Linked DNA regions of Oryzias latipes. The protein of the gene in region 1 purifies or fractionates together with the protein of each later gene. This does not show direct contact. Links are inferred from orthologs where the notes say so. Each region holds a gene or a part of one and is shown on either strand. Other genes may lie near its edges.

Region 1 (15,718 bases):
CTGGTCGCAATCTTAGATCTTCGGCAAAAGGCCTTTTAACAATCCCACAATCTAGATTGAAGATCAGGGGAGACAGGGCCTTTGCTGTAAGAGCCCCAACACTCTGGAACAGTCTCCCTGAAGAGATCAGGCTCGCTGGGTCCCTACCATTATTTAAATCTCTTTTAAAAACCCACCTCTATAGGAGTGCTTTTAATGATTTTACCGGTTCTTAAATTTAAACATAGGATTTATTTAAATTTTTTTTTTTTTATTGATTCATTGATTTTAACTGCTATCACTGTTTTGTGTGTGTGCTGGGTTTTATTACTACATACTGTAAACTGTTTGTAATCCGGATTTTGTCTCATATTAATTGTACAGAATTTAGTAATCTCGTTTTCGAAAAGTGCTATATAAATTAAGTAAATTATTATTGGTACTTAGACTGAGGATAAAGCTTCTCTACATGTATTTTCTACATCTGAAACCAGACAAATCATTGATGTTTTGTATGATATTTTCCCTTGTGCTATTTTGTGGGGTCCAGATGCACATACCCCACAAGACAGCACAAGGGTTGTAAGAGGTAAACTTTTTAATCTCATGACATGCAGAGCTGGCCAGTGCAAAGCTCTACTAACCATTTGACAGGATGTTTATTGTGAATTTTCAGGCTTGGTCAAAAAGAGAACGAGTGCCTGCTGATAACTATAAAAACCGACGGCCATGGAACTATAGTTGTAAAACCTGACTTCAACAAAGGCCGAGAGCCCTACAGGCAAGTTTACAAGGCTTCTGTGATGGCTGAGAATGAATCCTACATTTTTTAGCGTATCATTTAACCCTTGTGCTATCTTAGATGACCCCACCCTTGCATTGACGTGTAATTCCTACCATGACAAAGGTGGATAAAGGTGGAAAGATTTCATGTAATCCATGGACACCAGTGAAGATCACAAATCATTGAAGAAAAAAAGTTCAGAGCACTGAATAGTGGGTCTAGATGACCCAACTCCCAATGGTAAAGTGCCTAGGATAGCACAAGGGATGAGTAGAATGGCAGCAGTAAGCTGCAAATCCTAAAACGATTGTATGTTTAAAAAAAGAAAAAAGCAAAGTACATTTAAAACCACAGCAAAAATAATAGAGTGAATCAGACATTTAACCGGACGTTTGTGTCGTTGGACAGGATTGTCGCTGAGGGAGAAAACCGAGAAATATGGCGTCTTACTTTTGAGAACGTATCAAAAAGCATGAAGCCAGAGGAAAAAAACAAGGAGCAGAACATGTATAAAGATGTGAGTCAATATCAGCATTTTCTAATAAACCAGGAAAGAGATTCAGAACATTTTTATTGCTAAAATGGAAGATGAAAGCTGTAATCAGGATCAACTTTGTCCCTCCTCTTTATAGCTGTATGTGAGGCACAAAGAGTTCCTCAGTGGTCTTGTTGGACAGGACTTTGAAATGGTAAGGCGTTTTTTGTTTTAAACTTTATTTTTATTGATTTTTTGTTACATGAAAACAAACCACAAACTACATTCAAAACAGAGGTCAATCCTGTGTCTATTTGTTGAAAAGTGTCCATTTTTTCCACATTCGGTGTTATTGTGACTCTTGCAGTCTCAGCCTGTATGTTATTGTTTCCGTTGAATAAATGTCGTTAATTGCTGGTAAGGCGTTTTAATGTAACGTTTTTAATTCAAATTTTCAATGCTTACCATGGTCTAAAAAAAAGACAAGTATGTTATGATCTATCAACTATATACTAAAGAGCAAATTCTTACATTTGAGGAGTTTTAGCCAAAAAAAGGTTTAAGGATTAAGGTTTAAGGATAGTTATCACTTGAGTAAATGTTGACTTGTATTTAGGTTTGTGAGCTATGAGATGTGTGTTGTTTAGCCTCCTGCAGGTACACTGCGTTACCTGATGAACGGAGAAATAGGTAAGTCAAAAGGCAGAGCTAACTTTAGCAGTTATATATATATAATACACGTTTAGAATTAATAACTACTATTTTTTTACAGTCTCAGCTCAAGGCTTTGAATATGACAACTTGTACATACACTTCTTTTTGGAATTGCCCAATAGTAAGTCTTAAGTATCAGTAGTTGTTTGATTGTTGTTTTTGCCTCTTTAGCTGTAACTGATGTTTTTCTTTCAGATTGGTCCAGTTTGCCTTCTCAGTCTCTATCAGAGGTCACCCAGACCTGTCGGACCAAGTCTCTTGAAAAGGTGTGAACGTTTTGCATACGCTTAGCTTGAAAAGCTACACAATTCCACAACAGTTTATCTAAAAAAGTCTTCAAGACTAGCAATTGCTGAGTCGACAATGAACGTCTCTGCCGAAACATACCTTTAAAAGACTGGAAAAGTAAGAGCATCAGTGTAGGAGAGTGCAGCAGAGGCTTAGTTAAAGCATAAAGCTCAGCCACAACTTGCTGTCTGTCTGCAAAATTCTGTAACTGGAAATAAAAGAATCCATAAACGGCTTTGCCACCCTGGACACACCAGTCCCCAGAAGCTAACCGGGGTAACGCCTGATTGTTTCTTTAATGAGAGATTGTCTGGGACTACTATGTGCTGTAAATGACTGCGGGCACACAGTGGGCACTCTCCAGTGTTTCCATGTGCCTGTCCCAAGTCTGGTTAAAGAACAGGGTTTGGCATCTGCTGTACAACTGAAGTCAAATGTGCAAGTCTTGACTGGGCGTCCCTTTTAAGCTAGATGCCCAAAGGAAAAAGGCCCTGTAAATGTGTAGAGACAAAAAACAAGTTTGTCAAGTGGTTGTTGCTTTAAGGTGCATCTCGGTTTTGTACTGACAATGCATTCCTGTATATTTTCTGATACTTAATGGCTTACATTTAGAAAAAAAAAAATCTTGATTGCTTGCATGTAAGAGACTAGGGAGCCGGTTTAGCTCGTGCTGGTTTGCGGCGCCTTCCGTCTGTGGAAGTTCATGTTTTACTTCGAAGCCCATCGAGACGACTGTTGTTGTGATTTTGGACTATACAAAGAAAATTGAATTGAATTGAATTGAATTGAAACCCAGGTTCAAATCCGGGCTGCTCCCTGTTCCCTTCTCTACCTCTGTGCCGGTCCCAAGCCCGGTTGCTTTGAGAGGCTTGCGTCAGGAAGGGCATCCGGCGTAAAACATTGCCAAGTTTACCATGCGGCTCGTTCGCTGTGGCGACCCCTGATGGGAAAAGCCGAAAGAGAAACAACTTGCATGTAAGAGACTAAACCACTTTTTTGAGTGGAAGTTGTTAAACCCTCAACAAACTCTCCGTCTACAGGAAGATGTGGCTTTCTTCAGCTATCCCTTCACTTTTGAGGCTCTTTATATGAAGCAAAAAGACGGTGAAGGTTAGTATCAGCTGTTAAGTATTATAGCATAGTTTATGTTTTATGAATCCAGGTTTTATCTTACTTTAGAAGGCATTCCTCAGTGGCCAGTGATTTACTTCAAGGTTCTTTCCTTGGACTTCTGGCAGCGCTATCGAACGGAAGGCTATGGTTATCTGCTTTTTCCTGCCACGCCCGGTACGATGTATTTCCTGAAATCTCATTTAAATTCAGTTTATTTTGTTACTGTTCACATTTAATCAAGGGATTTCTAAATGGTTAGTGTTTCTACATCTTGTTTGTGTTTGTATACCAGGTAAACATACCATGACATGTCACACATGGAGGCCTGTTCAGACAGGGACTGTGTCTGCAATGAAGCGCTTCTTTATTGGAGGTTCTGCTGAGCTTGAAGATGACAGTTATGTCAGAACTCCAGGAACATTCAAGGTGAATCAAAGCTGGCTCAAACAAAGTTTTAGACAATTGATGTTGATTTTTATCAGGTATAAAGTTAAATAAATATGTTGTGATTTTATCGATACATACTCCTTGGGCAGCTGGGTTTCAATTGTCAGTTGAAATTGAGTCAATCCTAACTTCAATAAAATTATTGATTCTTCCATTTCTGAAATACATTTTTGTGAATATTATTTGTCAAAGCAAAAATTAAACGTTTTCTTTTTTTAAATCACTATTTAAGTAATCCAAAAAATTGGACTTAGGATAGAAATCTGAAAACAAATTGATGATTATTTTAATTTTTGCTGCTATATATTGAATTAAATTGTACACTTTTGAATAAAAAAATCAATAATTTGCATTTACTGTGACATTCTGGTGGAAACCATTTAACGGAGTGCAAATATCAGAATAACCAACAGACTTTGAAAAAAATGATTTCTTTGGGTTTTTGATAAACAGGGACTTGCTTTTGATACATGATTGAAACAAAGGTGTTTTAGTATTTACAGTATGTGTATGTTTTTTGTTGTTATTCTCTAACATTTTTGTATCAGGGGGACAGGCTGAGTCGCTTTGGTTTCTGCACTGTAACCACAGGAAGCGTCACTTTTAACCTGCACTGCATCCAGCAAGCCAGGTGAGTGTCAGGTAAGCGTCAAACAGGTCTCAGTCTGCCAGCAACATAACTACAGTGGTCTTTTGTGTCCGTGTGTACATTTCAGGGCATTTGTGGATGCTGCTGTTCTGAAAAGGAGGAGACAGAAGGTTTTTGAGCATTTGGGAGGATTTAGTCAACAAGGAGCTGTTTGCAACATTCTGGGTAAAAAAAAACAAAAAATCCATTTGACTTCCAAGCCTCTTTGCACTGAAATTCTGGAGGTCTGAACTTTATTTAGGGATCAACATTTGTTGGGCTATTGGGATGCAATTAGGATTTAAAATGTGCTGTATTTAAATGTTAATAATAGTTTCATTTAACACGTTTCATGTTTTTCTCTGTCAGAGGCTTTTCAGAGAGCGAGGAAAAAGATGCAGGAGGCCAGAGAAAGTTTTCCGAGAGGCGTAATAAACACTGGTTCCCAACTCCAACAGGAATCCTCAGCATGAGACTGAAAACCAAACTTTCAGTGGGACTGAGTGGAAGAAGATCCTGGCACAGACTCAGAATTTTGCAAAGATGACTCTCTAGTGACCGGTCCAGTGAGCATCTGTGGAACATTTCATGTTTTAAGGATTAATAAGTCACTTTGTCAGGTTGTAATGATGCAAAACATACATCAATCCACCAAAATGTGGAAAAAGTGACCACACCTGCCTTAGAAACTACAGGCAAATTTCACAGCAGTTTTTAATGGCTAAGGAACTTGTTGAAAATCCACTCGGGAGTTTTTTTTTGTTGCAATTAACTCTTTTACAAGTTCTAAGCTGCTTTTCACCTCCTGCCCTCTACAGAAGCTGCTGCGCTCATGTTCTGCCAGTACCTACTGATGTACGCAGATACGAGAAATGTTCTGGTGCTGTTTAAATCTACTAAAGCTTACTTTTTACTGTCAGAAATAGCCTAGTGATTAACAGAATGAAGCTGAATTAGCCACTAACCAGGAAAGCCTTTGTGTCGTTTCCCTACATCAACGGGTCTATTTGGGGCAAAACAGAGACTCTTGCTTCATGTCCCTCAAAAGGATCTTCTCAGAGCTAATCTCAATTTACCTGACCCTCTGCTGCTTTACTTTAACCTGGTTCCATGAAGCACCATACCAACTTTCAGTTAAAGACATTTAGCTTTTTTCTCATTTAAACTCAGTTAAATTATTATTGATCTGCCCCTTAACAGTACAAAACTATTGTTACAGTCTACTGTAAAAATAGAAATTGAAATCCTCCTGAAACATCTTTTTCACAAATCAAGCAATCTCTATAGTCTTCTCCTTCTTTTTAGAGCCGGTCTTAAGGATCTCGTCATTCTCATTTGATCAGCCTATGCACAATTTATGCATCTGTTCTTTTGCTATACTTGATACAGGGATGAATGGTGCTTGGTTCAGAATAGGATTTTAAAAACGATGCCAGTTTGGCTAAAAGAGATCATGTTCTCAGGATTACTGTCAGGAAAAAAAAATCAGCTGATTTTAATTTGTTGGGGTAGTTTTTGCATTTTATTGCATATAATTCTACAAATAAATGTTTTTGCTACAAAATATTTGAAGTTTCATTGTTGTTATACATTTGTTATTTTAATTAAAGCAACATCCTTTTTTTTTTTAAAACAAACCCAACTTTTTATGTCATTTTTATAATTTTGAAGCCACACTGTATATAAGTTACAGGTGAAAAATAAAGTATTGGTTTCATGGATTGTGGTAGTTGACCCTAATGGGCTTTTGATAAAGCTTAATTGATTTCTTTGCTGTTTGTATGCTGTTTCTCAGTGAATATCAAATGAAAAAAAAATAGATTTTTATCTTTTGTGAAGCGTCATTTAGTTAAGAAACTAATGCATTTTATTTTTAGAGAACGTGTTCTTTGATTTTATGAGGATTTACAACACTGACCTAGGTTAGAAAGGCTTTTATGTGCTTGCAATTTAATCTTTAACTATGTAAAAAAGATTGTAATTTGCATTTTTTTCTTTTAAACTATCAATAATATAAACACCTGCAGTCTTGCACGTTTACTTGTTAAAAGTAAGATGCTCTGATAGTTTAAAACAACAAAACAACTAGCAAATAAAAACACCAACATGAACATGGCTTAAAAAATTGTCATTAATTAAGCTTCATTTTTGTTTTAAAATAAACGGTTGGGTCAGAGTTTGTGCTCCAAATCATGAAAAAAAAATTGATTTCATGTTCACACGCCCACTTTTCTGCACTCCAGTAGGAAGTTTTCCAGTTTCCTACGATCGTGAACTCACCATCTATATCCCGATTCTCCATCTTTTTCCCCACCAAGCACAGGACCAACCTACGTCTTCGACCTCTTGGACTATTTTCCGGCTCACGTAACCGCAGCCAGGTATTGAACATGAAACTGTTAAAAATGAAATACAAGTAGATATCTACACGTTTGTTTTGATTATACTTTTGAGGGAGGTGGCACAGTGACAGTCCAGCGGCAGAGTAGCTCCGTTCGTCGGTCGGTGATGTGATGAAACTGGGCCGCTTCTCGCTATTCATTTCAATGTGGAGGTTCGACTGAAAATAAACGCGTCACATACAGTTGCAAAGAAACTGTCGAAATAAGTACCCTGACATTTGTGTAAATTTGCATTTTGACACTTCGTCACTGAAGTGTAAAGGACGATGATGGTTAGCCTTTTTAGCTAATGCTAGCGAAGTGTAACGGCTGTGGCTCAACTCTAGCTAACGTTTTGTTTCGGAGAGGACAAACGGTGAAAAATGCCGATTTTGTTGTCGCAACTTGTAAAAGATTATTGGTTTAGCTTTCAAACCGGAGCGGCGAGTTGAAACCGGAAAACAAATTTGCTTAATGTGCAAAAATTAGCAGCATATCGCTCCGTTGTAGAAGAAGTTAGGGCGTGCAGCCACCATCATTCATTATTGGTAAACGTGTTACTTTTGTTTCTTTGTGGATTTATTGTAAAGACTCCGATATTTCCCGCTCAGCCGTAGATCACTAACTATCATATTTATTTATTATTGCAAAAGACAAACTGCCAATGTTGTATGAATGGTTCTTGCATGGGTGGCACTATTAAACACAAGTTCTCTCCTCATAACTTATTTATTTGGAACAACAAATATTAATATTATACAAGAAAAAATCTTTGTTTTTCCCCACATTGGTTTGAGAAAAGAATTCTACTGGTGGGCCAACTTTTTAACATGAACGGGCATTTATTAAGGTATACTGAATTCAACTCTAAATACAATCTGGTTGTGACTTCTAAAGAATATGCCATTGTGTTTGAAACCGTTTCCAAAGAAATATGCCAAATGTTTAAAACAACTGTTAGGAATGAAGAAATGCCCTCTATGGATGCAACTGACACCACCACAGGAAAAATCTGCTTTAATCCCTCACACTAGAACAAAAAACATAAAAGTACTTGTAATTTCTCTGGGACGTCATTTCTGTGCCATGTACTAAAACCTACTGGACATGTTTTGTTCCCGATGGTATTTGGAGGAAAGGTTGGAGTGTGACCCAAACATTTATGATAAATAATAAAATGAATGAAGTTTCTTTTAAAATAATTCACGAAATTTACCCCACCAATCAATTCATGCTAAGATGCATTAAATCAATTGTACCTTTTGCAAAACACAACCAGAAACAATTGGCCACCTTTTTTGGAATTGTACTGAAATTAGAATTTTTTTGGAAAAAGTGTTTACAATTGATCAGAAATCATATTCACCCCAACTTCACTCTGAAATTTGAATATATAATTTTTGGCTTTCATAATAAAAACTTGGACTCAAATAAAAAACTCATAAGTAATCTTATTATTACATTTGGCAGATTTTATATTCATAAACGCAAATTTTCTTCCTCTTCTATATTATCCCCTCTGTTAATCAAACAAATTGAAATGTATCTCAGTAACATCTCTAAAAGCCTTAATCAAAAAGCTGTATGTTTGTATGAAGGTTGTAGAAACCTGAATATTTTTATGTAAAATGCATGTAATATGTATGCTCCCCAGGCATATCTGAAGATTACTTTGCAAAATTGTGTTTTGGATTGTACTTACGTTTTGTACAATAAAGTTTTTTTTTTAAAGTAAAATAAAATGTTGTATGAATGGGGCTTTCTTCCAATCTTACTGATAAATCTATTGGTGATGCATTTTAGGACTTCTGTAAACAATCTAAAAACCAAACAATGGCTGTTTTATTGTGAAAAACTACACCCTGCTGGACTCTTTAGTCAATATGTTGGTGTGGAAAAGAGTTGTGCATTGGGAGATATTTTCTGGGATTCTGTCCTGGTGTATTTTTGTGACTCTTGTTTAGCATGTGTAAGGCAAGGATCATGCCATTGAATGAAAAGTTATTCAATATTGTTATGCTTTGCACGCCAAATACACATGAGAGTATAAAACTGTGTATATATTTTCTTAAACACTGTGTTATCATAATAAATTATTAAAATATTCTAAAAGTCGACTTTTAGAAAAAATCTGTCCAGACAGGTTTAACATAGTCTGTCCAATTTGACCATTTCTTATAAAACCTGTCTGAATTTGAATTAAGAATGAAAGCTTTTCCATAATGTCAATATTGTGAGTATAGTGACCCACTCCTCTGTTATTGGGGTTTGCTGTTTGTAGCATCTTTTTGTTTTGCAGCTTTTTGCACTTGCTGCCAGCAAGTTATGTTAAGTACAAGCATGTTAAGTACGTTTTTATCCAAAAAGTTAAATCCATCCCAAGTCCAGTTACAAAGATATGTAGTGTTTAATAAAACATATGCACATTTTTATACGGTACTCTCATGTGTATTTGGAGTGCAGAACATAACAATATTGAATACGTTTTCATTCATTCACATAATCATGTCTTGTTCATACTAAACAGCAGTCACAAATGTACACGTAAAAGCAATCTTAAACACTTTCTGCAAATGTGTGTGGGTTTCAACCCAGTATTTTTTGAACAGCTGAACAGTCCCAGAATATATGAAAGTGCTTCCACATCTCCAGCTTGCATCTCCACTGCTCTCATGCCACTTTTGAACTGGAGTGATTTAAAAAAGAAATCTTGTGACGTTTTCCCAGCAAAATTCCCACCAATAATTTGACCTGGTTTTGACCTATTTCACCTGACATGACCTTTTGCAATCTTCTTCTGAAACTGGCAGAGTCCCATCTTTTTCCCATTTTTTTCTCTACTTATTTCTTCTGTCTCTGCTCTTGTTTTTTTTTGATTATGTGCACTGTTTTCTTTTTCCTTTTTCACTGGGATTTTCCTGAGTTTAATCATTTTTCTCCCTGATATAGTTTTTGTATATAATATTTTCCTTCAATTAAGTTTATATTGAAGAAAAATGATTCATTTTATTCAAGTTACAATAAGGGATTTCAAAGATTTTTTTTAGATATTTGTTGTGCTGAAAGGCATTGACATTTAGTAGAACAATAATTGAAACAAGTTTGTAAAGAAAAGAAAAAAAAAGGAAAGATTGTGATAGGCTGCTGAGTAATTTTCTACATGTACAATCATTTACCTTTCTTTTTTTTTTTAGCCTTTAGGGACCACAATCATGACGGACTCCAAATATTTCACTACAAACAAAAAAGGTAAGTGGTTCCGGGTAGAAAACATGCCAGTTCTTACACATATTCCAAATTAAGCTAATGTAAATAATGAAATCCTTTCATATTGACCTTTTCAGATCCGATTTTAAAACAGTTGATGTATTATTCATTTTACAGGGGAGATCTTTGAACTGAAGGCAGAGCTGAACAATGAAAAAAAGGAGAAAAGGAAGGAAGCTGTGAAAAAAGTCATTGCAGCCATGACTGTTGGCAAGGATGTCAGGTACATGAAAAATATTCAATTGTATTTAATTTTTCTTATTTGATTAATTTGCAGACAACACCCCTGATTATTTCATGTTATATATTGACCACGTCCTTTTGTTTTGCTGTCAGTTCTTTGTTCCCTGATGTGGTCAACTGCATGCAGACGGATAACCTGGAGCTGAAGAAGTTGGTCTACCTCTATTTGATGAACTACGCCAAGAGCCAGCCTGACATGGCCATCATGGCTGTCAACAGTTTTGTCAAGGCAAATCCTTTTTATTAATACAAGTCCCGCAATAAGTAATTTTACCTGGAGTCTTTATCAACCAAATGACATGGGGATTGCTGTGTATAGTATCTTTTAAATTTTTTTTAAGAAAGGAGTTTTTTCCAGTCAACCAAGTTGAATCTTTTTAAACATCTGCCCGCAGTGGAATCTAATTTTTTTCTTTTCTTTTGCTATATAGGACTGTGAGGACCCCAACCCTCTAATCCGAGCTTTGGCTGTCCGCACCATGGGTTGCATCCGAGTGGACAAAATAACAGAATACCTGTGTGAGCCGCTGAGGAAGTGTCTGAAAGACGAGGATCCGTATGTGAGAAAGACGGCGGCCGTCTGCGTCGCTAAACTACACGACATAAATGCTCAGATGGTGGAGGACCAAGGTTTCTTGGACTCTCTGAGAGATCTCATTGCTGACTCAAACCCCATGGTGTGTGTTCTGACTTACTTTATAAGATTATACCTTTATATATTTCATGACAGAAAATGATTTATTTATTAAGTTATGTTTGCCAACAGGCCGAAACCCATTAAAAGGTTAAATCACAGACTGAAATCACACATTCTCATATACAATATACCAAATAAATATATAAAACAAGGTACATATTGGATTAAAGAAGAATGTAAAATGTATGGATGCTACAGACCATGGTGGATGCTTTCTCCCACTCGCACCTCAAGCACACACAGGATTCTCTCACTGAGCTAACCTTTCCTTGTAAATGAGGTCTGTACGCGTCTTCCTCTGGGCGAAAATCTCAGTGACTTTAGTGTCAAAACCCTGCTCCTCTTTTTACTTTTAGAAATATTTGAAAACCTTTTTCAGACTTTGAAGCTCTTAAAGCTCAGCTTTGGTCTTTGTTTTTAGTGAACGTCCAATTTTCAGAGACTTTTGGAGCTGGGACATTACATCCGCCATTTTTTTCAGTCTGTCAGAGCAAAACATAAAATAACACTCCTATTGAATTGGCAAAAGAAAAACAAACATGAGCTGACGAGCGCCTTCTACTGCCTGCCTCGCCTTATGCCTTCTCGGTGCGGCTTTTTGTCAGATCTGAACACTAAATTAGGGAAATATATATATAAATCCCATAACTGTTATATGGAAAGTAGAGACATGTTAAACATGTCTAGAATGTATGGTTTTTTTTAAATAAAGCATTATATTGGTAGCATGAATTAAGTTAGCAAAAGGCACGCAATCAACCCAGTTTGGAAGGGTTGGCGCCCTCCAGGGTGAGGCAGCACTCGATGCTGCCGCAGCTGCCAGCCTTTTTTGTAATGGAACAAAAAAGCACCCCAGAAAACAGAGATTTTGATCTCTGCATTGATGGCACAGATTAGTAAACAAGTATTTATAAAATCATCAGTAGCCTGTATATCTTATGACGGCGGGTGAAGCATTGCCTCCCCTGCCTGCATGTCACTGCTGTATTAAGATACTGTGGCATTTATTTTTTTCAATTATGTGAACAAAATGTAATCGTAAGCATTTATTTTGTTTAAAATATACCCACAAAGTAGTTTTTTATTTGTGTTTTGCCTTGCTGCCCCATTTCTGGAAACGTTTACATTTATGATTAACTCTGCTACCCTTCTCGTAATTTAAAGTACCGGTAAACATTTTTTTACGCCGTTGGAATTTACGCCAGATGCGATGCTATTAAAGCTAGTGCTGTTAATGTAAAGATCTTAGTAGTGAAACTGAAATCCTCTTGTGCTCTTAAGGTTGTGGCCAATGCTGTTGCTGCCCTGTCAGAGATCAGCGAGTCTCACCCCAACAGCAACCTCCTGGACCTGAACCCTCAGAACATTAACAAGCTGCTGACGGCTCTAAATGAATGCACTGAGTGGGGGCAGATCTTCATCCTGGATTGTCTCTCAAACTACAACCCAAAGGATGAACGTGAAGCTCAAAGGTTACTTTAACGCCATCTTCTTTTCATCTACTGTACACTATTGCTGTTGTTTTCTTTTTTTTTCTGGCTGACATTTTCCTGCTTTTCTTTCGAAGCATCTGTGAGCGAGTCACTCCCCGACTGTCTCATGCCAACTCAGCAGTGGTTCTGTCTGCTGTCAAGGTCCTCATGAAGTTCTTAGAGCTGCTGCCCAAAGACTCCGACTACTACAACATGCTGCTGAAGAAGTTGTCCCCTCCACTGGTTACCCTGCTCTCTGGAGAACCAGAGGTCCAGTATGTGGCTCTGAGGAACATCAACCTCATTGTTCAGAAGAGGTGTGTGTGATCGGACCTACTAAGTTTCTAATACAGAAAACTAAGAAAAAGCTTTTTTATCTTGTACTTTTGACAGTTTTGCAGCGATTTTGCCATTTAAAAAAGTATGCAAAGTGGCCTAAAGTTTTTTTGAAATAAAAAACACATAAAATGTCAGAATTTAGTAGAAGTACATCAAGCACCAGATGGTAAAACTGAATATTTATTGTCTAAAATGTGTGTAGGCCCGAGATCCTCAAACAAGAGATCAAGGTGTTCTTCGTCAAGTACAACGACCCCATCTATGTGAAACTGGAGAAACTGGACATTATGATCCGCTTGGCTTCCCAGGCCAACATCGCCCAGGTATCTTAAATGAAAAGCATCTCACTATGATCGTTGTTATGTAGATTATTTACCCGTGTTAAACACGATATAGACCTTATTAAAGATTGAAACATAATGGATTCCAGATTGACAAAGTGCAAGTTTTTACTTTAAGCAGACGAGTCATCATTTGGTTAAAATCCAAAGCATGTGTGTTATCTAAGCAGCACAGACATGAAGTTGTTTATGTTTATGTCGAATTTAAAGTAATTTACTTGGTTTACTTGCAGGTTTTGGCTGAATTGAAGGAATATGCCACAGAGGTAGACGTTGATTTTGTGCGGAAGGCGGTTCGAGCGATCGGACGCTGTGCCATCAAAGTGGAGGTAGGAAAGGTCCCATGACGCTGTAAATCATTTCACTCTCTGTCCGTTTTTCATCATCTGCGTTTATATTGTAATATTTTGCAACAGTTTATTTAATCTTCTGTGCGCAGGGTGAGTGTTTTTGAAGGAAGTAAATGTTTTTGTTGTCGGTTTCTTTAGGTGTTGTCAAAATGTTATAGACAGTGTGTATCAAATGAATACGTTCATTTATTAGTTTACTGTTGACAGTGCTGCTGAAAACGAAATGTTTGTGAGTTTTTTAAAGGCTTTTCATCATGAAGACATGCTTCATGTTTGCTGTTCTTCTCCAGCAATCAGCTGAGCGCTGCGTCAGCACCCTGCTGGACCTGATCCAGACTAAGGTCAACTACGTGGTCCAGGAGGCTATTGTGGTCATCAGAGACATTTTCCGCAAGTACCCTAACAAGTATGCGTCCCGTCAGAGCTCAAATATTAATTTTCAGCTTTAATAGAAGCCGTTAGTTGCTGGACGTCTTGGCCTAATGCTAACCCGTTGATATTTCTCAGGTACGAAAGCATCATTGCCACTCTGTGTGAGAACCTGGACTCTTTGGATGAGCCGGATGCTCGGGCGGCCATGATCTGGATTGTTGGGGAGTATGCAGAAAGGATTGACAATGCGGATGAGCTGCTGGAGAGCTTCCTTGAGGGTTTCCATGATGAGAGCACCCAGGTGGGGTCACAGACAAAGACGCTTCGTGTTAATCTTGTAGTGGAGAGAATGTCAGCAGACAGTTTGTCTGTTTCCATCCTATTTTTATTTGTCAGTAATCCTAGTGGCCTCAGTGATCTTTTTCAATCTGTTTCGGTTTGAAGGTCCAACTCACTCTGCTGACCGCCATCGTCAAGCTGTTCCTTAAGAAGCCGTCTGAGACTCAGGAGTTGGTGCAGCAGGTCCTCAGCCTGGCTACTCAGGTATGTGTTGTTTGTATTCAGATGACAGAAATGTTCACCTTTTTTTTTTCTGTCACCATGACAGCATTTGGGTTTTTGATGGCCTTTTATGCAAATACGTTGAACTCAAAAAGAGGCTTCAGTTCTTAAATTTTCCACAGATTTTTATTATTTAGATGGTTAGAGCTGTAACAAATATTCCAATACCCAGAAATTTGGGATCGAAGATTTGAGTATGAATATTTGCAACATCTGATTTTTTTTTTTATACATATCATAGTGTTGTAAAAATATAAATCAGGGTAATGTAAAATTACAGACTAATGTTAGGTTTTAAATATTTAAACTATAAAAACTGAAAGCGCTACTGTCACCGTAAGTAAAGAAATCTTCAAAGTATTTTTTGTAGATGAAAAAATGAAGTTCAGATTAATGAAATAAGTTTAAAAAAAGCAATTTAGATTTAAATATAATTGACTGTTTTAATAAAATATTAGTATATAATTTATATGAAATTTGAAAGACTATTATTATCTTTTCACATCCTCATGTGGTCAAATAGGTAACAAGACTCTCAAGCTTTTCAGTGTTGCATAAAATTAAAGCTTCTGGGTTTTGACAGGACTTTGTCAAAACTCCTAGTAAAGACATTAAACTTCAACTTCATTCAACTGTTTTTAATGTCTTTAATTTTAGGACTCTGACAACCCTGACCTCCGTGACAGAGGCTACATTTATTGGCGTCTGCTGTCAACTGACCCTGTGACTGCCAAAGAGGTGGTGCTCTCAGAGAAACCGCTGATCTCTGAGGAGACGGATTTGATTGAGCCCACACTGCTGGATGAGCTCATCTGCCACATTGGCTCCCTGGCCTCCGTCTATCACAAACCACCCAGCGCCTTTGTGGAGGGAAGTCATGGAGTCCACAGGAAACACCTTCCTGTTCAGCACAGCAGGTCAGAATTATCACCAAATTTTCAGGAGGGTTCTTTTCTGAAAAAGATCTGCTCTTTTATAAAGAGATTACAGGGCTCCAGACTGCGACCAATTGGTCGCATTTTGCTTTACTTTCCTTTTTAGAAAAGGTGTGAAAAGTGTCTATTCGCTCGTAATTTTCTAAATACATGCAGTCCGTGCTGAACTTTTCTCTGGGTCACACAGACCCGGAGGAAGGTTTAGGTTTTGGTTACGGTTACGGCGGCGCATCAAACGGGTTACGGCAGCTCACCGCTCCCGCGGGAGTCGGGTCAGCTGAGGAGAATAAATGTCCCCCACGTACATGCGTGACAGCTAACGGGGCTTGAAC
Region 2 (15,148 bases), on another chromosome or scaffold:
AAAATTATAAAGAGAAAAGCTGCCCTCACTAGTAGTCATGTGTTTGTGTCATCACATAATCACGTGCATTAGCCGTCGGTGGTTTTGCTACCAAACAGCCCAAGATTGCCTGATGACCTTTGCTCATCAATGTGTCTGAGGGTAGAAAGCTGATCACCACGCACGCGTCAGTGTCCCGAGGTCGTTTCATTCCAGTGCACGTCTAGGATGAGCACACGCTCCAGTCAGACCTGAGAAGCACATCATCACGCCTAAGTTGTGAACGTGTAACAAAAGCAGTGGCGTGTACAGCTGTGGAACATCAATCTCTGCTTAATACCAAATGGAAGGTAGACGGGTGATTTATTCCTCATCATACCAACAGTTTGGTTGAACTTTTCTCTGTTTTGTGAGAGAATTCATTGGGATTTACTTTGTAATCGTTTTGAAATGCGCCAATATGTCTTAACATCATAGATTCACAGTAATCCTGACCCCCACCATCTGTTAAAGATGTTGAAAGGCAAGCTGAGTTTTATTTTGAAGGATCATCCAAGCATGTTGATGAGTATTGATCAACTCCATTCACTCATATTATATTAGACTGTACTTGGTGATAAGATAATTGAACGGTTAATAAATACCCTTCTGTGCTGAGGCAGCATGAGAACATGAACACCTCATGCATGGTGAGTAATGCACGTCTGACAGTCTGCATGGAAAACCTGAGGATCTGTCAGAGGTCATCAAAAACAACCTGACCACACACACGTCATTCAGTCTGCTCTTTGTCCTTTTAAAGCTTTTAGAAAGCAGTTGAACCTTACCTCACCTGAGATTTGACTGTTTTCAGTCTTTGATTCTGTTTTGGTTTAACTAGAGAGAATCAGAACCAACGTGTCAACCTGGACATTCAAACCAGAGACGTGCTGATCCGAATCCCCCGTTTGGTTCCGAGTCATTTGATACAGATATCGAGGCCTGATCTGATACTTTTGTAAAACATTAAAAACAGTTATACACTGACCCAAGTTCTTTTATTAACCTTCTTTATTTTTAACACTTCTGTGTAGTAGGTTCAACAATAACGTATAAAACAGTGAAACTATTGACTAGAAAAGCAACGTCGGTTTGTCTACATTGCAGGATTGTTGCTGTGACTTGATCACTCGCTGGGATGCTTCTGTTGCGGCGGTGAAAGATTTGAACTGGGTGTAGTTTGGCACTAAGATTGTAGGTTAAAAAGCTAATATACATCAGAAGCCCTAGACAAGTACAGATAAAGGGGAAACACGGGTGTTTTAAAATGACCGGCTGTCTTCCTCAAACAAAAACTACTTTGGCATTTTTATGCTACAGGGAAATTCTCTGCAGCACAGTGAGACAAAAAGCTCCTCATTCAGTGTCTGCAGGACATCAGGAACACTGAACACTTTCCTGGAAAGAAACGTGACAATCAACACAAGGTCAGACTCTCCACATTCAGAGTTTGCCATGTAACTCATGTTCAGTGTACACATTTTATGAGCCATTGACATGTGGCGCGAAACCGAATTCCAGCAGCACAACATTTTTCAAATGTTTACACTGGAACTCAGTTGGAATATTTCTATTTAGCGTTGGGGTCCTTTGAATCTGGTTCCTACATTAAAGTTGAGCTTTCCCTTCAAAAACCTCCTACATATATCTCTATGTGGAAGAGAAAAGTTTTTACCTAGGAAATGCAATATTGATAGAATAAAGCGATCAGTTTTTATGTAAAATAAACGTGTTCCAGCTTTTGTAATGGTTTGCATCATTGAAAATCTTTTAAAGAGGCTGAGAAACTCACCGTCTGAACGACTGGTATACAGTACTGGTGATGAGCCGGCACAATGTGTGTCTTTGTTGTAGTGCTGTAGCAGCCTGTGAGAATGGTGGTGCGTTTCAGTGCTCTGTTCTGTTGTGGGCTTTGCGGCCTTTGTGCTTGCTCACTGCAGCTCCTGTAACACCACCCCTCCTCATCCTGGGAGAAAACTTGTTTTACCATCTAAGGTGCACATCGATCCCTGAATTTCGGCAATCTGGCAATGCCTCAGGAGTGCAACGTCCTGAAAACGTTGTGCTGGTTCGTCTACAGACCCTTGAAGAAATGAGGAGTTCTTGGTCAGTGTTCAGAGAACATAAATAACAAAAGCAATTTTACCACTCATGGTGATGGGTGAAACCATTTGTCAACAAATTCTGTTTATGTAGGTGTGTGTGAATGCGGGGGCCCTGGGACAAACTGGGGACCCGTCAAAGGTGTACCCCACTTTGCCCAATAGGAGTTGGGACAGGCTCCAGCAACCCCAGGACCTTGAAAGGGATACAGCCCGTTAAGAAAATAGATGGATGGCATTGTTACCTCTTTATGTTTTATTCTCATCAAGACTTTCTGTCTGTTCAATCCAGTAGATCTAATTTGACTTGGTTAAAAAAAACTCTTTGTCTGCGTCCACAGACGGTCTTATGAACGAGGTGGGGCTTTTTCCAATGACCCCTTTTCCAGCTGCTGATGCAGCCACTAATGGACTCGTCTGGCAGACTGTACTACCTGCACTAAAGCATTGTTGTTCTCCTGCTGGCCAGTGCGCATGTTTTGGTGTTCATGCTGTGCATGATTATGACCATTTACCTACATTCACTCACCAGTGAATTAAAGAAGGGTCTGTAAGGACATAAAGACAATTGTTACACATTTGGTCATATTTGTATTTTTTCCACCATGGTCCGACTTTCAGAGAACGGTGTTTTCTTTGCGATTTGATATACGGTGTGGTTTTACTCTGAACCTTTTTGAGTGATGGACATGTGGCACGAGGTGTTGCATATCTGGGATTATAACTATGGGGGTTGGCTCTGGCTTGTTTTTTTATGATCACAGTAGATCTGTATTGCATCTGAGTCGGTCATCGTATTGACCCTGTTTAGAATAACGGCATTAGTTTTCAGTAACTAGCCAATCTAGATTGTTCTGTTTTTGCATTGCTGTTACTGTTGCTAGATGCTAACTGTGTTCTGCTTCTATGAATTGATTACAGGTAGATATGCTGTGCAAACCAGGGGTGTAATGATTAATTTCAACAACAATTTGATTCATATCGTTTGTGGCTGAAACGATTCATAGTCTATATTGTTTAATTTTCAATTAACCAATACTCCATAGTTCATGGTCCAATTTCCACGGGCACGCCGTGGGTGGACGGCACAGATGGCGGTCTTTGCTAACCAGGGCCTTGACCGTTCCAGTGTGGAAGTCATAGGTCTGATTTGTTTACAGTGATCCCTCGCTATAACACGGTTTACTTTTCATGGATTTGCATTGTGTTCTGCATTCTGATTGGCTAAAAAGTCACTCCGCTTCTTCTCTGCCTGTGCGTCAATAACGCTGTAGTTTAATATGTACACATACGTAAAACAGCTTGCCAAATTTACATCGTATGTGCAAATAATCTTGCAATTTGGAGTTTCTCTAAAACCCAGAGAAAAAAGAGCGACAACAACTGTCAATCACTGCGTTCTTCTCCTGAACAAACACAGCTGCACCGCGGGCTTCAGAAGAAGAAAACACTGCAGAGGGGAGTCAGGATGCAGCGGCTCAGTCTGAAGAGCTGTGAAACACACCTGAGTCACTATTTGTCCCACTGTACTGTGTCTTTTAGTCATAATCATTTTAAATTTTCTCCCGGTTAATCCAATTACTCGGGGGGCGGGGCTAATGGGCGGGGCTAATCTCCGCAATTTGAAGCCGTGTGTTCACATTGATGATTAAAATTATTATTTGACAGTACAGAAGTTACTTGTTGAAAAAACTTCTCTAAAGTACTTTGATCTGTGAAACAAATGCTTGAGCCTGTAAAATGGTTTATTCTGTCTGTTCAATGTATAATAGAGTTTTTAATTGTATAATAATAGTTTAAAAAAATAGATGTTTCTACTTCACGGATTTTGCCTATCACGGGTTCTTTTTGCAACGTAACCCCCGCGAAAAACAAGGCTTTACTGTATTTGGTTTGTCAAAGATTTCATGTCGGATGCTGTTCCTGACACGACCCTCTGTATTTATCCGGGCTCGGGACGGCACAGTGAAACCCTGGCTTGGGCCCTCGTGGCTACACACAATTGGAAAAACATCTTGTAGTTTGCAAAACAAATGGGTTCAGATGTGGTTCCAGGAAGCTGTTGGTTTTTTGGAAGACTTGTTCTCCTGTGCTTTGTTACACCTGCTTAACTGCCTGTTCCTGTTGCTCTGTTGGCTTTCATTTGATTAAACCGATTCTGCCATATTAAATCAGTCGTCCAGACACTGATGGTCCATGTCTGGCCCTGTTTGTGTCTGTATCTGCTGTTTTACTGCATTTTGTCTTTTGTTTCAAGGAGCAGACAAACTCTGAGCAGTGGAGATTTTTTAGCTCTCGCAACTCCAGCTTTTTTATCTTTGTTAAATTTGTGGCTCATCTGCACATGCAGCTATTGTGTAACTCCACTTTTGCCCCTAGGAAACATGTTTTAGTTCATCTAACTTAGCGCTGCTGCAGCTCTAACCCCTCTGTTTAATCTGATAATGTTTGCTGAAGTTACACTCGCTGTTGTAAGTGCGCACAAACGAACCTTAAAGTCCCACGCCATCATCTTTTGATCTATTGTCAAAGCAAACATAAAGACGTTAGTACACCTCTTTGTCTGCAGTGTGATCGGAGTGGTGGTGTAGTAACTGTGATGGGCGGGGCCAGCTTATCCATGCTCCGCCCCTTTCTGATCATCCACCTGCAGACCAACAGATCCATGAACGTCTTTGTTTTCCCGGTCTGAGCTGGAATCTGGATCAGAACTGGACTGATGATAGATCAGCTATTGCTGGTCATTTTTGTTACACTGCTAATGTTGGCTTGGGGTTGGAAGGGGCTGTAAGCTAGTGGGAGAGCATGTAAACAGATGGATGATGGGAAAGGTAAACTTTGGAAGTTTAAATGATTGCACTGTGCTGTTATCTCTTTTCTTTTCATACATGGCCTTCTGCACCTCTGTGATCAGCCCACCTTTAGATTGATTCCTCACCGGGTCCTTTCTGTCCAGTGTTTGCATGTTCTGTGTTTGCATGTGTGGGTTTTCTCTGAAACCAAAGAGAGACTGTGTTCCTGTGGTGGACCTGACTTCCCTGCAGCCCCCCTGTAACCCTGTCTGAGTTGGAATTGGTGATGGGGGAAGGAATCTTTTGTGTTTCCTGTAGAAATGACTGGAGAAAGTGATGCAATGGTAGATATTGTTGTACTTCCTGCTGCGACGGCTTGATCTGCCCTGGTCCAGGAGCAGGCGGTGTGGAGTCTATGGGGCTACGATTACCGACCGCAGGCACAGCAATGCTGCGGGACGCCGTGCTGTACAGGCATGATGCTGAGAAAATGTCTCACTTCATCCACAAAGAGTGGTGTGCCTAAACTTTACGATGTTTTTCCTGCAGGAGGATTTTCTGTGGTGTTCATGGCCCGAACGCACAGCGGCGTCCGCTGCGCTCTCAAAAGGATGTATGTGAACAACGTGCAGGACCTGAACGTCTGCAAGAGAGAGATCACTATCATGGTACGGCTTTGGTCACGAGCCAGCGCTTCAGCTGCAACAGTTATCTTCTTCTCAGCTGAAGCCTTTTGAGCTGCATTCCGGTGCTTTCCTTCATAGAGACGTTCTTTGTAGTGAAAGGCATCTCTCTAAATACATATGTAACCTGCAGATCTCCAGTAGAAAGTGACCCAGCAGGACTTCACTGTTCAAGCAAGCACTGATATGAATGGACTTCATGTTTCCTTTGAGCAGCCAGTCATAATGTAGAGTGACCAGAGGTCCTGGTTTAGGGAGGAGGCAGAAACTCCTGTTGGCTGCTCACACTCGCCTGTCCCTCTTCTCCCCCACGCTCAGGTCCTCTCCCTTGATGGGCTCCAGGTAATTGGTGGGCCCCGCCCAGGAAGAAAGTCATTTTAGCCACACAAGAAGAAACAGAAATGCACATTTTCATGGAAACTGTACATTAAACTGCTGTAAACAAACAGACATAAAATAATAAACAACTCAAATCATTACAAACCACAATGGTAATCAAACAAATCCAACCCCTGCCCCCCCCCACTTTCTTATGCCCAACCCCCAAACAGGAAGTGAAGGCCGCTGCCAGAAAGGAGAGCTGAGAAACCAGAAGTCAATAAACAAATTTAAACCTGTGTATGTTCTGGATCCGCTCAGCGGGGCTGGGACAGACGGGTGATAAGTCGACACAAGCTGCTCACAGAAACAGTTTTACATTTAGATGGAGACAAAATCCAACCATAACTTCCTGAAAACCTCCTGTCATCCCTTGTTAAGCACACGTTGCTTAGCAACAGTCAAATCAGGGACAGCTTTAAAACTATCGATGCTGGTGGGATTTCAGAACAGACGTGTTCATATTTGAATTTTGAATTTCCATTTTGTGTAAACTAAGAATGCCTATACATTGAATAAGGTACCTCTATGTTTAACAGAAGTCACAAACATGCTGGAGTAACAAGCTTGTTTCTATACAACTTTCATCCAGACCATAAACTTGCCCTTTTAGGTCTCTAATGTGCACTTTACAGTAACATTAATGTTGAAATGAACACTAAAAATCATTAAAAGAAGACAAAACTTCCAAAGCGATGTGTGTGGCAGAAGTTCCCGTGAGGTCATGTGATCGATGGCTTCCTCTTTAGACTCCAGTATTTCCAGTTGAGCAGCTCTGACAGGCCTCTGCTTCCCAGCGAGGCTGAAGGAGCACAGCAGTAGCCAACGTTGGCCTCTGGTATGTGTGAGAGCTGTAGTAAAGTGCTGCAGACTGCAGAGGAGCATCCGCCTGCAGCTCCGTCTGCTTCTGTCTGCACGGCCTCGTCACCTGGAACACGGACTTCCACCCCTGCACTTGCCTCAGGTGTGTCCGTGTTCACAGCTCTCAAACATGCCGGGAACTGGGGATGGAATTAACCTACAAAAGTAGGAGGCAGGAAGGAGGATAACAAATGGCAACACATCTCACTATTTCATCTTTTACAGGGTTTAACCCTTTTTCACCCAAGATGCCGCTGGCAACACCTGAACAACACGCTCTTTGATGTAAATCTTTGACCGTTCACGGAATCGCCATGAATCCGCTGGTTCTGATGCGACGTGATGTCATAGTGGCACATTACTAACATAAGGTGTTGTCTAGCTGCTTTTCTCTGCAGCAGAATCACTTCACTGCCATGCGGTGTTGGTTATCAGCACTAGGCTGCTTTTCCCGCTCCAGAATCCTCTGGAACTACCTTCAGTGCAATAAAGCAGTACGATGGTGGATAGAATGTCAACACTGGAGCTGATTCTCTGCTGTTGAAAGGGTTAATCTGTCTAAACCCCCCCCGGTCAGTATTGCTCATTTGTGCTCCTCAGTGTTTTGCCCTGAACTCTCTGTCTTGTGTGTAGAAGGAGCTGTCAGGCCACAAGAACATCGTCACCTACCTGGACTCCACCATCAGTTCTTTTTCAGACAACGTTTGGGAGGTCCTGATCCTCATGGAGTTCTGCAAAGGTACGGCCTGTGTTTGTGCACAGAGCTTCTAACTGTGTCTGTGTCTCTCCAACTACCATGAAACTATAACACGCGGGGCGGTGTAGTGCCCAGGATTTTAAAAGCAATACGCACCGACCACACGCTCACTGCTTTGGTCTTTAAACTGCGATTATGACGTCACCCATTTCACAAAGTAAAATTGTGTTTTAGTGTTTTATGACTCTTTATGAACTGTCCTGATGATTAAAACATTGATGATTTATTAAAAAATACATTAAAATAGTTTTTCTGCAGAAATTGTTCAGACACATTGCATTGTGGTCTATGTATGCCAGTCTAGTGAGCATCGATGCACACTGGCTTGTTGCAGAGACTTCTGGGTTGTTTCTAGGGCTCTGGATTTTGGAATTGTAGGTTCGGACAGCACTAGAAAACGGCGAACGCGCCATACAGCGCAGGAATTCAGACACAACAGAGAGATTCTGCTTTTCTCACATGACCTCAGATAGTATGAAACGAAAGTAGAAAGAGATTAAGCAGAGGAAGAACTTCTGCAAAACTCTTCTCCTTCCTTCAGACTTTCAGTTTTTCTGCTGGGACACGGCGTCTGTGAACAACCAGCCTCCCTAGAACTTTAGTGGTCTTCCAGACTCTGGAGGGGTCAGCGATGGTCTTCTGATAATGTCTGAAGTCTTCTGTGTGTTCCACCAAAATGAGACAATTCAATGAGACACGGTGAAGCTTGCAGACAGTTTGTTGGTGAAACTGTTTAAAAACGTATACTTTCTGTGTAACATAAGTTCCATTGCCAACAAAGAAGTGGGCTTCAGACTTGGGCATCAATGCAGACGACTCTTTTTGGTCAGAGATTTGCTCAAACACTTTTTATGAGCGGGAACCGATTGAAATCGTAGAGTCCTGGATCTATATTCTATCTGGCTTGTTCGGTGACTCTTGCAGCTTTTTTCTGTCCCTTGTTGAACCCGTTCTCCAGCCTTGGTCTTGACGTTTCTGTTGGTGCTCCTGCAGCGGGTCAGGTGGTGAAGCAGATGAACCAGAGGTTAAACGTGGGCTTCAGTGAAGCTGAGGTCCTCCACATCTTCTGTGACACCTGCGAGGCCGTGGCTCGCCTGCACCAATGCAAGACGCCCATTATCCACAGAGACCTGAAGGTGAGACGCCGTTTCCCCTCTCCTCACCCTTTGGGGCTCTGAACTCACCTGTGTGCAGCTAACTTGAGCTTTGGATGGTTTTGCTGTAAGGTTACAAGGGTTTTTCACCTTCACTGAGAACCATGCCAACTGTGGTCAGAGAGTCTCCACAGAAAGGACACTTCATGTTTTCGTTGATATTCGGAAGTGAACGCTCAGGTTCAGTGTTACATCCAGGCTCTTAGATCAATCTGTGACTTTGGATATAATACAGACCTGGTGAAGTGGGGGAGTTTAGAGAAGTCGGCGTCTGTCTCCAGAGTTGCTGCTCTGCTTCTTGTTGGCGTGCTTCAGCGCGTGACTCGGCCTGCGATTCTGACGCCTGTCAGACTTTAGCGTGACAGCGCTGCAGACGACAGCAGCCCCTGCAGTGCATCGATGTGTTTTAGTCTCTGATTTCCAAAGGTCAAAGTTCGTAATAAATGTTTCCACTGAGCAAAGAGCTGCCAGGACGTTTCTGAGGAAGATGGACATTCTGAGCCTCATGCAGAAGCTGCATCGTCTTTCACACATTCCTGCCAGAAGAGGGCTGCGTTTTGATGACACTGCCAAGCTTGAAGCGTCACGCGTGATCAGGAACTATGGTCCCAGGATTTCTCACTACCAACCTTGTTTCACCAAAAACAGGGTGGATCTGCCAGACTTTGGGAAATCCCTGTCCAACCGTCCGTTCATGTGGTTCTTTTTATATTGAGTCTGCATTTACTGATGCTCAGCAACTGATGATGATTTCCTGCTGTGGCTGTACCCCCCCCCCCAGCGCCCCGTCAGTGGGAACGGTCCCTTCAGCCCTCTGTTGTCTGTCGGCTCAGCTTGCGTAACGCCGCAGGGACACAAAGGAGCGCGGGGGCCCGGCCCCGCTCTGCCAGGGGAAGTGAGAGTGCAGAAAAGTCCCCTGACGCTCAGAGCATGAACGGCTTTCTGTCAGAGGTTCGGTCCTCTGATCATCAGAGATCCTCAGCGTAGCGTCATTTAGGTTCCTCTCCCCTCCTCTGCTTTCTTTTCTTTGCGTTCTTTTTGCTCTGATTCTTGGCCGTGCGTTTCTTCTAGGTTCCTCGTCACACGGCTCGTGTTTTGTCTGGTGGTGGTGCTCCAAAATAAGAAAACGGTGACATGGATCAATGCTGATGTTCTGAGCTTCTATGTTGTAAAGATTGGAGTGTGACACATGCAAAGACATGGGACTCTGACGTTCAGTCACCAACACGTCTGTGAACATGCTCGTCACTTCCTGTCAATGACGTTTCCTGTGTTTGTCCTCTAAACGCCTGCACAGGTGGAGAACATTCTGCTGAACGACCAGGGGAACTATGTGCTGTGTGACTTTGGCAGCGCCACTCACAAAGTCTTACTGCCTCACAAGGATGGAGTGACAGCTGTGGAGGATGAAATCAAAAAGTGAGTATTGTTCGGCTACACCTCTGACTACAAAGGAGGATGGCGGTTCTCTGCATGACTCAAACCATGCAGTGTCAGTGTCAGGTGGTAATCTGCTTCATTCCTGTCCGTCTTTGTTCTGCTCGGAGCAGCACTCCGTCATAACATTACAATAAAAGCTTCATTTCCACCATGGATTTGGATCTCTGATGGGCAGAAATCGACCTTTGATCCCTTCAATCTCACAGCTTTAATCAGCAGGAATTCTGCTGGATGCTTCACTCACTAAAGGAAAAGGAGGATTTGTAAATCGGGCTAAACGTCTGATTTGGTCTTCATCAGTGCGGGTCATGTGGACCCACAAGACCATCCATGTTTGCTGCTAGTTGGTTTTCAATAATGGCAGCAACCTTTCAAGACGGATCAGTGGAAGAGAGAATAAATATGTGACTCCACGTTCAAGGCAGATGAGTGACAGAAAGGTTAGAGACCCTCCTGTGTGGGGTCAGAGGTCAGAGTTTGTATGAGGTTCATCAGAGCGTGTGAGCCAGAGATCCTGATGGACTCCTTTATATTCTGTAACAAACCCTTCTTGTCTCATCATTCATTCTGCCTGAAATCTTTCCACTGATCCATGATGAACTGCCTTTCTAAGTCCTGGTATGTTTTCGTTCTCCGCTCGGTGAAGTGTTGTTATGACCTCCGGAGACCTTTGACCCGTCGCTGACACGCCTCGTGTTCCTCCTGCAGGTACACCACATTGTCCTATCGGGCTCCAGAGATGATTAACCTGTATGCAGGAACCGGCATCACCACCAAGGCTGATATTTGGGTAAGACCCAAATATGGTTGGGTGTGCAGCGTCCTCCACACCACAAGCAGGACTCTGCAGTCCCATTCAAGCCTCCTGTGTTTGTCATCAGACGCTGGTGTCCTCGGTAATGCTCAGAGTGGGCTTTAGCTGTTTTCTGGGCACCGTGGTCAGAGCTGGAATCAGATGTTTTAGTGTCGCTGCAGGAATGTGGCTGTCGCTGACTCATCAACTGCACATGAATCACATCAGCTGTACTGTTTGGCAACTTCCCCCTGCAGTGACACTTCCTGTTCTTTCCAGGAAGTGACTCTATATGTTGAGCTAAGGAACAGAATCAGGTTTCTGTGGTGTGGATCCTGTCTGATCTACTGGATCAGCTGTGTGAAGAGTTTGTTCCAATCGTAGCAGATGAAGAAGAGAGATCTTCTTTACTCTGGCTGGTTACAGACACACCGTATTCTCCTAGAAAGGTGACGTCCACCAGAGCCAAGCTGAGAGCAGGTCTGCATGAGGACGAGGACCAGAACAGGTCATTTTTAGAAAAGCTTCGGTTTCTTGAGCTCAGCTCCAATGCTTCTTCAGAAGAGCTGTTGTTTCTGACTCTGATAAAGGCCTTCATGGCCTGTCTAACAGGCTGGAACAGGTGAGGGGCGGTCCTTCAGGTGCAGGCGTGGCTCACAGAGCCGGCTCCTCTGGTTCTCATGTGCTCGACAAACGTGTCCCAGAGGTTTGATTCTCCTGTTGTGGAGACGCTGCAGTCATTTGAGTCGTCTGTCAAAATCCTGGTCTTCTGCTTTTTCTGTTCTGCATTCATGCTGCAAAGTCCAGAGCCTGTGACCCCCCCCCCCCCCCCCCCCAGCACCTGAAAGACGGTGTGATGGTGGTGTGGGCCCACACATGCATGTCCTCCTGAAGGCTTCCTGCTCTTCTCCTCAGGCCCTGGGATGCTTGCTGTACAAGCTGTGTTTCTTCACTCTTCCTTTTGGGGAGAGCCAAGTTGCCATTTGTGACGGGAGCTTCATCGTTCCGGATAACTCCAAGTTCTCCTGCAGGCTGCACTGCTTGATCAGTGAGTGGCTGATGTTGGTTCATGTCCCCTTCCAAAGGCTGCCGGTTCAACCTGGCGTGAGGCGGGTGACCCAACATGCCGCCTGCAGCGGGTGATCGTGTGGAACAGTGGACTGTGGTCTTTGTTCCGCCGCGCTAACAGCCTGTTTGAACCGGTTGACTTTGCTTTGATTGACGCCCCCCAGCAGGATGTCCACCCCTGTTCAATGTTGGATCAGCAGCACCACCAAGTGGCCAAAGTTAAAGATGCACTTTTGTGTCTGCTTCAGGATACATGCTGGAGCCGGACCTGGAGAAGAGACCAGACATTTACCAAGTGTCCCACTTTGCCTTTAAGTTAGCGGGAAGAGAGAATCCGGTACCAAACCTGTGTGTGAGTGTCTGCACTCGCCCCACTGGCACTTTTGCACCTGTGCAGGTGTTGACGGTTCTGTGTGTGTTCTGCAGAGCTCAGCCATCCCCACATCGCTCCCGGAGCCGCTCACAGCCAGCGAGGTTGCTGCCAAAAAGAATCTGACAAAAGCCAGGTGGTGTGGCTGTTCCTGCAGGCTAACACTTCCACGCACACCGCCACGCTGGTTACAACATCACAGACGGTTTGGAGGTTTGTTGGTTGTTGGGTTAAAGGTCAAATTCTTCTGTCCAGGATAACCGACTCAGTGGTTCCAACTGAGACCTCCATAGCTCCTAGACAGAGACCAAAGGCTGCAAACTCCAACGTTCTCCCCCTCGCCAACACCGTCACCCCGGCCAAGATGACCGTGCCTTCCACAGCCGTCAGCAACGGCCAGAAAGGTAACGGATGGGTCCAGTGTGACGGCACAGCCATGGTTTAGCCTGTTTCATGCTAACCAGCTTGGATTTGAACTGCAGCTTTTTAAAAAAAGCTTTAAAGGTTGGCATGAAAGCAAGGCTGCAGAGCCAAAGCAAAGACGACGTGCACAGACCAAAGCACCTCCTCCTTGTTCATTCTGTACCAATAAAGGGAGGAAGCTGTTTGGAAGCAGTCATGGCAGTATTTCTATTCACTAGAACTGAAGTTTTCATCCACATTATCTGTTTTGATCCATGCATTCAGACTCTTTTTTTATTAATATCTGTGAGGAAACTGGAGATTCTAAACAGGACTGTAAAATAGGTAAATTAGGCTGGTTCGTTCCTTTCAGTTTCCTGCACACAGAAATGAATGAATAATGACTCAGAGACTAAACTTAGCTTCAGTGAAGATTTACTCCGCACAAATTTGTACGAAGGGTTACAGACAGATGAACAGGGTTGCTGCATCAAAGTCCAAACAACGGAGCTCAAAGTCTGAACAAAGAAAACAGGGAAATGGGCTTGGTATGTGAGCCCTGCATTTGCATATTCAGAAGGTCTTCCAACGCACAACGATGTGAAAATCACAGCCACAGACTGTTGCAGGCTAGGTGCTCGAAGGTCAGAGAGCTTAAAGTGTCAGATCTCTCTGAGGTCACAGACATCTGCCAGGACACCAGCACACACAAAGATGAAGGGGAGGAGACTGAAGGAATGTCACCAGACAACAGTCTTGGTTGTGCAAATGTAATATAATTTTGAGGTGATAATACATAGTGAATCAAGTTTAAACCATCAGTGTAATAAAAAGTAAAAGTTAGTGTAATAAAAGGTAAAGGGGAGTTTCTAACTTTTCTGTTTCTAATTATTCCTAACAATATCCTTATTGTTGTACCGTTTGGTTACAATAGGTGTCACTTATGGCATTTCTTATTTCTTTGACTTGATGAAGTATTTCAGCTTCCTTTTCTGTCAACAATCACACCAGCTTTTTCCCAGGAAAAGCCTTTCTGCTCGTTTTCACCACACTCTTCATTTGGACCCCTCAGCCCCCACTACCAGCTCTGGACAGCCTTCCATGCAGGCCCAGCCGAGCTGTCTGCAGAACCGAATCCTGCAGCAGCTGCAGCCAGGTGATCTGCGTCTGCAGCAGCTGCAGCAGCAGCCTGCAAATGTGCAGCAACTCCAGTACCTGCAGGTACGGACACGCACAGCTCAAGGTTTTGGGTTTTCACACTGAGCTCTGACGGACATGACTTTGCTCAGTACCAACAGGCAGTGCAGCAGTCCCTCCAGCTGCAGCAGCAGCAGCAACAGCAGCAGCAGGTCTTGCTCCAGCAGCAGCAGCAGATGATGATGATGCATCCCATGTACCAGCAGCAGGTCGCTCAGGCCCAGTATGCGGCTATGGTGAGTTCTGGAAAGAGTCTGGATTTGACCCAATGGCTGCCAGGACGCAGTGTACTCAGTGAAAAACTGCAGACTTCATCCAAACACATTGAGGCGCAGCGTGAGGTCCATGATCCATTCCATGTCAGAACGGATCCGTTTTGTTCAAACCTGGCAGCAGGCCGTCTTCACTCTTCACCAGCCACTTGCCAAGCAGCATCACAAGCAGACGCTCAAACTTCCTGCTGAAAATCCGTATTTACGCAGCGACGGAGTCAAACACAAACACAGGTCCTCCAAACATGCAGGAAGGGTGGCTCCATTTTTAGCCCGCTCTCCACCAACTGCACACCATCTGCTCCACTTCAGAGGCAATCTGGTTCCAGCAAAGCCACCAGGACTCTGGAAGGCTTCAGTCTAGCACCAAAGGGAGGAGCTTCCACTGACACCTCCGGTTCTCAAGACGCCGCCTGCCCCGGCGCTTCCTCACTGGTCCACTGTGGCCTTTGGCTCTGGCCTCATCAGGAGCACAACAGTCCTGATCGGGCCCTGACCCAGAAATCTGCTAGAGCTGTAATGAAACGGCCATGAATGCATGTTTTCATGTATCGTGTTTCTTCTCTAACAGATGTTAACGCTCAATAACCATTTGCTGCTGTGTGTTTGAGGACTTGAACTGTTTTGAAATGTTTTCTTTCATTGCATCTCCATGAACTCAGTGGTCCGCCCCTCATTCCCTCCCTCCTCCTCCTTCCCCAACAGCTGCACCAGTACCAACAGTCGTTTGTGCAGCAGCAGCAGCAGCAGCAGCAGCAGCAGCAGCAGCAGCAGCCTCTTCCCTACACATCTTCCCCTTTGGAGTTCCTGGGACCCTTTAATGCCTCCACTCCCACTGCTGGGGCCGCTCAGATGGGAGGA

What was found.
Region 2: the proteins of AP-1 complex subunit beta-1 (region 1) and bmp2k purify together in Homo sapiens (affinity purification with mass spectrometry; 3 studies listed by BioGRID and IntAct, with this or other methods). This does not show direct contact. The link is inferred for Oryzias latipes from reciprocal best matches to the Homo sapiens genes AP2B1 and BMP2K.

Annotation. Positions count from the first base shown.
Region 1 is NC_019872.2:25,018,659-25,034,376, forward strand, and holds the start of AP-1 complex subunit beta-1, read left to right. Parts: upstream 1-6,678; 5' UTR 6,679-6,809; intron 6,810-10,003; 5' UTR 10,004-10,021; coding exon 10,022-10,058; intron 10,059-10,193; coding exon 10,194-10,299; intron 10,300-10,412; coding exon 10,413-10,548; intron 10,549-10,750; coding exon 10,751-10,996; intron 10,997-12,297; coding exon 12,298-12,488; intron 12,489-12,583; coding exon 12,584-12,805; intron 12,806-13,029; coding exon 13,030-13,150; intron 13,151-13,401; coding exon 13,402-13,497; intron 13,498-13,808; coding exon 13,809-13,924; intron 13,925-14,025; coding exon 14,026-14,191; intron 14,192-14,334; coding exon 14,335-14,433; intron 14,434-15,108; coding exon 15,109-15,368; intron 15,369-15,718. Other genes in the region: mks1 (Meckel syndrome type 1 protein), read left to right, coding at 656-760, 1,172-1,280, 1,396-1,452, 1,886-1,928, 2,011-2,073, 2,148-2,218, 3,281-3,350, 3,420-3,527 and 4 more. UniProt on the Homo sapiens protein: Component of the adaptor protein complex 2 (AP-2). Adaptor protein complexes function in protein transport via transport vesicles in different membrane traffic pathways.
Region 2 is NC_019867.2:32,753,274-32,768,421, reverse strand, and holds part of bmp2k (BMP-2-inducible protein kinase), read left to right. Parts: intron 1-5,461; coding exon 5,462-5,580; intron 5,581-7,467; coding exon 7,468-7,573; intron 7,574-8,584; coding exon 8,585-8,727; intron 8,728-10,042; coding exon 10,043-10,164; intron 10,165-10,893; coding exon 10,894-10,975; intron 10,976-11,893; coding exon 11,894-12,026; intron 12,027-12,294; coding exon 12,295-12,398; intron 12,399-12,472; coding exon 12,473-12,552; intron 12,553-12,671; coding exon 12,672-12,820; intron 12,821-13,890; coding exon 13,891-14,039; intron 14,040-14,107; coding exon 14,108-14,251; intron 14,252-14,992; coding exon 14,993-15,148. UniProt on the Homo sapiens protein: May be involved in osteoblast differentiation.